Coturnix japonica: one gene and its partner. The protein of the gene in region 2 purifies or fractionates together with the protein of the main gene of each other region. This does not show direct contact. Links are inferred from orthologs where the notes say so. Each region holds a gene or a part of one and is shown on either strand. Other genes may lie near its edges.

The links.
Region 1: the proteins of SMAD3 (region 2) and FOXO3 purify together in Homo sapiens (affinity purification with western blotting; 3 studies listed by BioGRID and IntAct, with this or other methods). This does not show direct contact. The link is inferred for Coturnix japonica from reciprocal best matches to the Homo sapiens genes SMAD3 and FOXO3.

Annotation. Positions count from the first base shown.
Region 1 is NC_029518.1:61,256,817-61,262,692, forward strand, and holds the start of FOXO3 (forkhead box protein O3), read right to left. Parts: upstream 3,971-5,876; 5' UTR 3,701-3,970; coding exon 3,116-3,700; intron 1-3,115. UniProt on the Homo sapiens protein: Transcriptional activator that recognizes and binds to the DNA sequence 5'-[AG]TAAA[TC]A-3' and regulates different processes, such as apoptosis and autophagy.
Region 2 is NC_029525.1:17,089,020-17,094,468, reverse strand, and holds part of SMAD3 (mothers against decapentaplegic homolog 3), read right to left. Parts: coding exon 5,381-5,449; intron 3,421-5,380; coding exon 3,276-3,420; intron 368-3,275; coding exon 244-367; 3' UTR 1-243. UniProt on the Homo sapiens protein: Receptor-regulated SMAD (R-SMAD) that is an intracellular signal transducer and transcriptional modulator activated by TGF-beta (transforming growth factor) and activin type 1 receptor kinases.

The sequences.
Region 1 (5,876 bases), on a different chromosome or scaffold from region 2:
TTTCCTCAATAATCAGAATACCTGTGCGTTCATCACACTGGAGGAATTGCAGCGCTTCAGCACACATCAGTCAATAAAAGGTAATGAAAGAGGCAGAGTTTGCATACGAAGTCTCCAAAAATCTACCCCCCAAAGTAAAGAAGCCAGCAGATAGTATTTATCCTTCATGACGAAGATGCAACAGTGTAAAAACAAGCGCAACAGGTGTAAAACAAACGGGCTTCTGGTATAAAGCCAAACCTAAGCGAGTTAGCTGTGCCAATATTCAGGAGTTACTGGTACCTGCATACGAGGGACCCATTCACAGCCCTGCAATACAGCTCAGCAGAGAGGAGAGCAGTCCCCCTAGTGTACTCTTCCTGCAGAAAAGGCTGTGTTTTGCAAGAGAGTGCTACGAGAAATTACAAAATAGAGTTATAGGAAACGATACGGGAGCACTTCAACATGTTGCAGTGAAACCAGGCACCTACGCTATAGGCACAAACTGAGAGCGCTGCTTTGGTTTTCTGCTTCAGGATTATTGAGGAAAGTGAGTTGAAACATTATTTTTCCAAGTATTTAGCAAGCAGCACAGAAGCTCTGCAATCGCAGGCTGCAGATAGGGTAACAGATGCCTGAATTCAGGAGCACACACATACGAACCATCGAGGAACTGCATGGAGGTGCGTGCAATACTCCTACACCACGCTGCCAGCCGACACCTTTCCCCCAGCTCCAGCAATAAGAAATTTAAACGCTGACTTCCCACAGCAATCCCAGGCAGTCAGCAAATAAGGGAGCACACACCTAACCCCTCTCGGGCCATCCAGCAGGCTGGACTGACAGTAGTATGGGGCTGGCATCCTGCTGGCACTGGGGCAGGCTGGAGCTGTGTGCATGGGGTGAGCCTTATCGGAGTTAGCGGAAGCGTAATATATGTCTTCCTAACCACATCTGAAACATTCACTTCTGCTTTAATGGCCGAGGCAAAAATAATAATAACGTGTAGTCGAACGATAGTCGCAACTTTAATTTATAGCTCTTAAAATAATTGTTTGGAGGAGTGTAATCCCAGCTATGCATACGGATTATGGTCTTCACCGCATCTCACTGGGAACAGCATTAAAATTTCATGTATAATAATACCTAGGATATCAAAACAAGGTATCGGCTTCCCTTTATTTAAAACGACACTTTTCCCCCCTCAAGGCTGGAGAAGAATATTGTTAAGTGTGCCTGCAGCCTTCTAAAATAAACCTGGTTATGTGAAATTAAGATGAAGTCCGTCTGATACAGAGTTATTTTTCTGTTCACTTAAAATCTTAGGTTAAAACCTGAAAAAAAGCCCGGTGTGAGATGCTGACCTTACCTCCTGAAGAGTTGTGTTCACTACCTGAGAAGGAAACAGAGATGATAACATATAATGTGCGTGAGCACCGGGAGGCTAAGATGGAGTCCCTGTTTAAGAGTAGTGCCTCTGTACAAACTCACTTACTTTCAAAGTAGCTGAAATATCCCTCTTCCTAATACATACACAGGGACTGAAGTGGCCCCTGCTCTGCTCGGCAGCCCGTGGTCAGCTCCTGGCCTCCCTTAACCCTGCATCTCACTGCCTGAGCACGGCCCAACATGCTTCTGTGCCGATAAAGGTCACCCTAAAGGCTGCAGAGGGGCTTCTGAGCTAAACCGTATGAAAGAAATCCCAAGGGATCCAAGTTTTTAACACTGTAATTAGCTCCAAGTACCAGCTAATGCTGCTCAGGAAAGGAATCAATATCAAATTAACAGGCTAAGTTGTCAGAAAAAATAGTGACTGTATTAAGCACGCTGATCAATGCGAGCACTTGGTGCTATGGGCCGGGTCCTGCTGCTGAGGCAATGGGGAGCTCTGCCACCACATTCAGCTCAAGCAGCACAGCCCTGCTGCCTGCCCTTTGGAACAGTGATAGGGAGTTCACTGAAAATTCAACACAGCTGATAAAGGAGCAGCGTTTGCCACAGCAGCTGGCAGCGAGAGCCTCGGCTCAGTGTGCAGTACCTACTGAGCCGAGGCTGGCACCATGAGAATTTAACCCTTTGCCATACTCCATGATCACCCTCACACAACAGCCGGTGCAGCTCAGCTCCAACACTGCAGAGTACGTGGGTTTCAGAGCCCTGCCCCACATTAGCTATGCCCCAATAAACTTTGTGCTCCTGTTTTCCTGAGCCTGAGGTATGGCATCCCAACGCTTCCCCCACAGCACTCCACTTGGAACCTAGCAGCACGTCAGTCCTACTCCAGAACTACGGGGTGAGGCAGAGCTGCCAACAATGCAGCCAGAGCTGCTTCAACCCGCAGTATTCCTGACTGGTTCACGCACAGGTTAACCCTGATGCAAGGCAGGGAGAATCGAAGTAGAAACCAAACCTCCCTGTAGCACAAGGAAACTTCCTGCACACATGCCCTCAACAGCCCCATCCCTTAGCAGCAGCTGCGATGCCCCACACACCCCAGTAACGTTCTGCAGCAGCACCCACAGATCTGTATGGCCGCATGTCAGCTCCAAAGGGCCGACAGCCGGCCATGGGAACAAGCCCAAAGCAAGTGGGTCAGGCAGTGCCCACCTCACACCCCATTTACACTGGGTAAGCATTGCCGGGTTGTATGGGTGCAGGGCCTCTCTCTGCCAGGCTGGGTCCGTCAGCAACACAGTAGCGACCTCAGCGCAGCCTGCCGTGCTGTAAGCTGCTATCACCCCAACGGGCACGATAGATGGATGGGGTAAGTGAGGGGCACACAGGCTGGCAGCACCAAGCCATCACTCTCGCAAACCCTGTCATCTCCATATGAAAACGGAGCTTTGGGCTTCTCTCCACCACCTTTAGGAACGGCAGAGCTGGCAGTTGCTGGAGGAAAACGCAAGTCAATCTACATGTGAGCTTTGGGCTGGCACCGCACGAGAGCAACTCCGCTTATTTCTGTTGCGAGTTACAAGGTCCCTACAACTTGTACAAAATAAAAAGCCTTTAAGAACACCGTCTCCTGCCTTCCCTGCTCGTCCCCCTGCACCAGCCGGCGGCCGAGCGGCGAAAGTCCCATCCCTTCCCATCCTCGTCCCCTACGCTGCGGTCAGCCGGCAGCCCGTCCCCTCACCTTCCATCCGGCCGAGCTGTTGCTGTCGCCCTTATCCTTGAAGTAGGGCACGCACCGCACCATCCAGTCGTAGATCTGCGACAGGGTGAGCCGCTTCTCGGGGGAGCTCTCGATGGCGTGGGTGATGAGGTCGGCGTACGAGAGGTTGCCCCACGCGTTGCGCCGCGACGAGCACTTCCTCGGCGCCGCCGCCGCGGGGCCGCCGCCGCTCAGCCCCCCGCCGCCCGCCGCCGTGGCCGCTCCTCCCGGCGCCGGCCCGGGCCCCTCCGGGCCGCCTCCGGGCACGGGGACCGGCGGCCGCGCCGCCTCCTCGGGGCCGCCGGCGGCCGCCGCTTCGCCTCCCACGGGGGCCGCGCCGCCGACGGCCATGGCCGCGCCGCCCCCCTCCTCGTCGTCGTCCTCCTCCTCGGGGATCATGGAGGCGGCGTCGGCGGCCGGCTCGCCGGCGGGCTTGGCGGGGCTGGCCTGCAGTTCGGGCCTCTGCAGCGGCCAGGTGCAGGAGCGGGGGCGGCTCTGCGGCTCGAACTCGGGGTCCAGCTCCACGTCCAGGGGCGAGAGCGGCCCGGGGGGCGACGCCTCTGCCATCTCGGCCTCCCTCGGGGGCGGCTGCGGCGGCGGCGGGGCGCTGCGACGGGGCGGGCGGCCGCCGGCCCCGCTCCTCCTCCGCCGCCGCCTGCTCGGTGCCGCCGGGAGCCTAGCGGGCGGGCATGCCGCTCCCCGCGGGCACGGAGCGAACGGGCGAAGCCGGCGAAAACAACGAACGGAGAGCGAAAAACGCGATTCAATCGGGCGGAGCGCCGGAGCGCGGTGCCGGGGTGCGCTCGGCGCCGCGAGTGTGCGTTTGTTTATGTTTCTTCACTCCATGCGGGCTCTCCGGCTGCGTCCGCGCCGTACCTGGCCGTGGGGGCCGGCGAGCACCTTCCCTTCCTCGGGGGGTCCTGCGCTCGTCCCGGGGAGGCACCGAGGAGTCCGTCCTTCTTCGGGACGCCCCGAGGGGAGCGTGGATCCCTGCGCGCTGATCGCCGTCACTTCGCCTTGCCCCCAAACACAGCGGCACCTCCTCGCCAGAAGAAAGGAAAAAAAAAATAACAACACCACAAAAAACCCACAACGTAATAATAACGATAGAAATCCTTTCTCTCACGGGGGAAAAAGCGAGCACGAGAGGGACGGATCGGCGCTCCTCCAACAGGTCCGGGAGCTTTAAGCCCTCCCTCGGGCTGCCGAAGCGAATGGGTTTTGTTCCAGCAGCACCGCCGCGCTCGTAACCTCGGCGCTCATAACCTCCGTGCTCCTGCCGCTGCCATCTTGACAGTTCCCTCCGCTCCAGTCACCGAAAAACCGCGGCCGGGGAGCGGTGGGGACAGAGCCGACGACCGCCCCCAGGCCAGCGGAAAGGCGAAGCCCAGCGCCCGGCAGCGGCGGTGCTGGTGTTGGCGATACAGCCGCTCCTGCCGCTGCGCGGCTCCGCTCCGCCCGCTCTGCGCCCGGGGCTCGGCGGAGCCTTCCCTTTAAAGGCGACGCGGGGGGAGGCGGCGAGGCGAGCGGCCCGGCTGCCGCAGCCCGCCCCAGCTGCCCGTGGCCCTGCCGGCCGCCAGTTGGCACGTCCCTCCTCCTCCTCGCCACAACACAAAGTTATAGCCGCGCGCACACAGCCGCAACCTAACCCAACGCAACGCAGCGCCCGCCCACGGGCGGGGCCCAGCGGGGCCTCCCACACAGGGCGGGGAGACGGGAGCGGAGCGCGGCCGGGCCCCTGCGCCCCTCCGCCGGGGGGAGCGGGGACGGTGGTACAGTGTCGTTGCATGTCCGCCCGTGTATCCTCTTGGATTTAAGCAACATGGGTGATTTCACTACTCCATACGCTGAGTTTGTGTCACGTTCGCCCGATCTGCTGCCTAATCCCACCTGCAGGTAGCTCTGCTTGTCGCAGTGGAGCAATAGCGCGCCTCCTAACTGGGCTGTGAATTGTGCGTACAAGTTATTCTTGTGTTACCTCCGGAGTCCAGTTTTGGTCCTGTTTTTGGTGCCGTGTTCAGGCAGCAGGGTGGAGAACACTCAGCCGATGCCCACGTGAAGGCCATCACCCCACTGTGTTCTCCACCCCTGACGGAAGGGCCTCAGAAGCTTGAGGATGTTGCTAATGACAGGTTGGGTAAAGGGGTGACCCACAAACCAGGAGCACGGCACTCTCAACAGCTCTTGCCTGGCTTTATGTCAGCCTCAGCCACGGACCAGAATCAGTACAAAACGTGTCGACTCAGGTGTGCTTCTGAAGCGTTTCCACGCAGAATTACTGTCTAGATCAAAGACCACGCAAGGCTGTGAGTGATGAGGCTTCCTCAAACACCACGAGGAGCCCAAGCAGGCCAGCTGCTGGCTGCCACCAACACCAAAGCCTTCCCCAAACCTGGCCGTGCTTGGGGGCAGCGTTTCCTCAGTTGCCAAGGTTCCACGCCGCACAGTTCCATACCACGCTTTGACCTTGGGCTGGGTTTCAAGCTGAAGTTCTAGTCCTAAATGATATTATCATCTTCGTTTATTTATTTAATTGGCATTGCATTGCTGCACAGGCACTGCCATTACGGCTCATTGTGCTAGGTGAAGGCCCCGCACGTGGTCAGAAATGCTCTACTCCCTGCCAGAATTGCAGCCTAAGTAAGACAGGCCAGGGCGGGAGAAAGGAAATAAGTAAGTAGTAACCCTATTAAGGAGATGATGGACCGAGGCACCAAGCAATTACATGACTCTGCTGAGGTCA
Region 2 (5,449 bases):
CTTCATTCTGACTGCGAGGGCCCACAGCCTGTAACCAAAGTGCTGACAGTTTCAGTGGAAGTGGCTTCAATGGGTCTTTAGTTTTAAAAAAAAAAAGAAACAAAACTAAGAAAAGCCACTATTTTCGCAGATCTGTTTCTCCTCATCACTTCAGTAACTGGGAATCTCTGTGTGTTTTGCTAAGGGTTCAGCCAATTCCATCCTGCAGTCTTTGCTCCCCACCCGCCCCCAGGAGGTGCTTCCTTAGGAGACGCTGGAGCAGCGGATGCTGGGGGAGCCCATCTGTGTGAGGACCTTGTCCAGCCACTGCAGGGGGCCGTTGAGGTGCAGCTCAATCCAGCAGGGAGTGCTGGTCACCGTCTGCCGCCTGCGAGGAGAAGGGGTTGGGGAGAGAGGGAGGAAACAGAACGTTTAAATGGGACTTGCAAAACGTTACAGATCTGAGGTTTTACAGCTACCGAAGCATTCTTTCCTGCTTACACAACAGTCCCGCACGTGGGGCCAAAGGAAAGTCTCCCTCCTCTTTAATACACTCCTGGCCAATGCTGCCAACTTCCTGAAAGCGCCCATCTTTCCCTTTACATCCCCTGCCATCCCAGAGGGAAACTCACAATATCATCTATTTGTTACTCAGACTTCTGGAATAAGGTGCTTATCTGAGCAACACCCCAGTTTAATTCTGCACACCTCGTGCCTCCTGATTAGTCAGTAAGCACAGTATGTCAGATTGCTGTGTGTGAGGTTCTCTTTTCACCCCATCTTCGGGTTTTGGCCAGATCAGAGGCGACAGAAGTGACCCCACTGTCCCTGTGCTGGAGGCATGGACCCAACTCTACAGCCGCACATAGGGCAGAAAAGCAGCAGTATGGAATTAACTGATGTGCTTTAAAAACCTCTGTAGCTGCTGGCAGTGGGTGGAGAACAGCGGGGATCAGACGCCTGCAGGGTCAGTGCTCCCTGTGCTTCACTTCCCGCTGCCCCCCAGCATCCCCCATTTGCTGCCCTGTTATTCCCGAGGGCCAGAGCCCACAGATGCCTCCAGACAGCAGAGCAGGGTGACAAGGGGAGGACAGGGAGGGACTCGGGACCAGGATATAGGGCAGGGGCTGTGCCCAGGGACAGAGGGATTCTCGATCCAGGCAGAGAGGCAGGGACAGCTGCTGTGGAGGAGGAGGATTACCACGAGAGAGAAATAGCCTGCAAACAGCCTTGGTTTACACCCTCGTTTCCCACAGAAGCCGTCCTTGGAATCTGCCTGTGGGAGGGAGACCAAAATCTGTGGGGCCTGGGCAAAAAGTGCTGCTGCAATGGGGCTGTGCCCATGGGGCTGCCCAGCACTCCCAGCACCATCCCCATCCCTTTGCAGCAGGGCACAGAGCTGTGTATGGCTGTGTGAGGCTTTGGCTGAGGGCTGGAGCGCGGCCCAGCAATGCGCTGCATCCCCTGTCCTTGAGCTGAGAAAGGAAGCAGCTCCCGAAGGCACCGCACCCATTCCCGAGCAGCGCTGGCAGGGATGCAGTGCCCCAGAGTGGGCGGGTGGGCAGGGCTCAGAGCTGATGGGATGCAGGCAGTCACAGCATCTCGGTGAGCACTGCAGGCTGCCAGGGCAGCGGGATGCACTGACACAGACAGACCTCCGAGATCCCATAAGATCCAGTCTCCCTTAACACAGAGCATTCCCATTTGCTGCCTACAATGGGTCAACATTGAGCAGCCCAACTACTGTCCAGCAACAACGTGCAGGGACCCAATGCCCGAGGGGCTGCTGCACTCCTGCCCTCCTGGCACACCTCACTGCCTTCCCACCTGCAGACTGAATGCAGCCTGCCTGAAGGTGAGCTCTCACAGCTGGCTCTTGCTGGACACAGAACCTCCATCCTGCACGTGCAATTGGCTTCTCCCTGTACCAAACACCCCACAGTGCTCCAACAGCAACACAGCCAAACCAGAATCACTGGATGCAGCTCCCACAGCTACACAGCTCCATACCCACCAGTTCAACTAATCAACGTGCCCTGACAAAGGTGAAGAGATGGAGCATTTTGTGGCAAGGAAATGAAGGAGCAGGAGAGCAGCTTCAGCGTGAGCGCAGGGTTTCATTGCCTACAATACTCTAATGAGATAGTTGACTTTCCGTAAGTCACGCTCATCTGGATTTCATTACGAGCGGTGGCTGAGATCCAGGGCTGAAATGCTCTGGCCCGAGCGCAGGACAATTTCAAAACAAAATGGACTCCAAACATCTGGAGAAATGAAGAAAGTGGGAGCGTACCGTGCAGGACGGGGCTGCAGCTGAGCCGTGGCACCTCCCTGTCGGCCAGCAGCTGCACGCAGGGCGCGTCGGCACAGCCGCGCTGCTCCGGGAGGCAGAGGCTGCCCTGCACTTCCAATTGGGGCTGACTGAAAGGGTGCACAGTCAAGCAAGTATTTCAAAATCGAATTTGGCTGAAGTCTGTGCCAGCTTTTTCTCTCATAAAATGACATTTGTTTTCTGACAGATTTCACCTCCCCTGCTCATACTACTAACACCACTTTTACTCCCTTTGCTACTCTTAGGGATGTTTGTTTGTTAATGCAGTGGGGCAGCAGTGACACGAATTACAGAGTTCTGTGTCCTCACACCCTGTGCTGTCAGAACAACCACATCATCCATCCCAGACTCCATCTCCTTTTTCACATCTAATAGGGACCCTGCTTGTCCCATGGCCTCCACTCACCTTGAAGTAGCCACGCAATGACAAGCACTAAGAGCAGGATGAGGGGATATAGCAGCAGCAACTCTCAATAGTTTTCCATATGTGCATTTTCATGCCGAGTTGTTTTGACTTTAACCTCTATTAGTCACCGATAAAAGAAAACACCAAACCTAACCCATATCTGTGAGGAAGCGCTCGCACTGATCCTGTCCTGATAACAGTGTCGTACTACGACTATCCAAAACCTGTCAAATACACACCCAAGTTTAAGAAAAAATAGGTGCTGTTTCCCACACAACCACACAGATGTGTCTGATGTGCTTCAGGTACGGCTCCAGGCCTGCAAAGCACTGTGACCAAACACACGTGGGTTTCCAATATATCCCACGATGCAGGTTTTACACAAAGAGAATGGGAAAAATAAGATATGAGGTCAGCACATTCTTAGCAAATACAAGGTGTGCATTACCAAAGAGATACGCCATTAAGCCTCCCAATCTCAAGGCTGAATAAGAAAGCTGTGCAGAACACTGCTGGGCCGTGCATGAGCACACCACACACCACGGAACATGGGCTGACCTGTATTCAGCTCCCCAGCCCTTGACGAAGCTCATCCGAATGGTGCACATCCTGGTCAGCTGGTACACAGCTTCGAAGCCCTGGTTCACAGACTGAGCCAAGAGAGCCGCGAATTCCTGGTTGTTAAAAATCTTCAAGTTACATCCTGTGCATAAAGAACACGACCAAAACAAGGTGTTAGCCACATTAAGAAATCTGTTTCTTTATAGGAATGGAAAGAAACTCAATGCTGCTTTCCCATGTCCCCAGACCATGTGACACCATTCACAGGCTGCTCAATGACTGCACTTCAACAAGCCTGCTGGGGTTTTCCACAGCCCATGGGCTGAAAACCACATTATGGGACAGAGATCACTCACACATCACGCTGCCACCTGCATGATGGACCTGGGATCCTCAGGTGAAACCTCATTTATACTAATTTTCATTGTGTATTCATTTAAAAGCCCACCTGTGACCGTAACACTTACTGACAGCTACTGCTACAGAGCCTGAAACAAAGGAATGCATGGGTTAAAAACAGGGACTCGCTGGTGTTGGATTTATGTGGTGCCTGTCAGCAGAATGAATGTTCTGAAGTGAAGCAGCTCTGGGCAGCCAGAGCCCACATACAGGGTTCAGGGGGCTGGTAGCAGAGCTGTAACCTCTGTACATTTAATCTGATGTGCCAAAGAATTTTCCTTTAGAAGGGATGTGCTCCCCTCAGTGTTTACTCACAGCTGAAAGACAGAGAACAACCTGTTCAGCTGTCCTAGGTGATAAAGGTGAAAAGCAATCACGTTATCCGTGGTTAAAATAAGTAAATAAATACCTAACTTTCACTCTTGCTTTCTCCCTGATAATCAGAAATGAGTTAAACCCTGAAACTTGGCATGCCACTGGTGCTCATTTGGAATTACATATGGACCAAGTCTGAAAAACAACCAGTTGGACTGTGATGAATTGTATTTTTCTAAGATCCCTTCAGAGCCTGCTCCCTTGGGCTGGACCCACACTGCCATCTGTTTTGGGCCGAACCACATACAGCAAAGCATAACCGCATTCAATGGCTCAGCAGCTGCAAAATAAAAACTGCCCGTTTTTGTGGCCATAACAGAGCCCAGCCCAAGAGCCACGGGCCTCGTGGAGCACTAAGGGGTGCCGTGCCGGGCACACTGCAGCCTAAGAGGGGAAAATAAGATGGGAGAGAGCACAGGGAACGAGCTATGGCAAGGAAAGGAAACAGTCTGATCAGACTGCAAACTGCTCAGAGCTCAGGAGCGATGTGAGCAGGTCTCCCTGTGACCGTGCCTGGCAGGAAGTGGTACAACCCGGCCTCATCAACAGCGGAATGAAGAAACCGCTTCAAAACCAACAAAAATGGAAGATGAATCTGAGAAGGCAGCCGGGCTGTGGCAATAGCAGGGAGAGCCGGTGTCCAAGAAATGTGCCTGAGATGGATCTACAGCGGAAATGTGGGCTGTTTATGTTTTCACATGTTGACTCCAGCCCGGGTGGACTCCTGTGATGTGGCTGGAGAATTAAGTCATGTTTGTAGCACTGGCAGCTGCTCCCTAAGCATCTGAGAAAGGAAACCCATTTAGATGGGCCAGGACTTGCAGTGTATGGATCTCTCTTCTAAAAAAAGAGGATCTTTATTCAAGTATTTCTAAATGAAAAAGTTACTTTTTGAACATATAAGTACTTTTAAATGTTAAAAAAAAAAAAAGCAGCAGGTTTTGGAAGCCTGGCTAAACAGCCTTTTGAAAAGCATCTTCTCATCCCAGCTCATGTGTGTATCTAACAAAAATAGCAGCTTTTCCCAAATACACACAATAATGTCTCCTCTGACATTTCAGCATACCTCACAAGTGACATTCTAGATTCTATTCTAATTTCTCTAGAATAAAGCTCACAGAAAAAAGGCTGCACTACAGAACAGAAACCAGCAACAGTTTATTATGGGCTAATCTAAACTGAGAAAAAAATCCAAAGTTACCTTCTTTCATATGAAGTTATAAGCAGGACTATTAGACAACAACAACATCGACACACTGTGCTGAATACACGGCAGATCCTGCTTGAACTGTGCAGCACTGTTTCTTCCTACCCGCGCGTGTCCTTACCCGGTGGGATCTTGCAGACCGTTGCTGGGTGCCAGCCATAGCGCTGGTTGCAGTTGGGAGACTGGACGA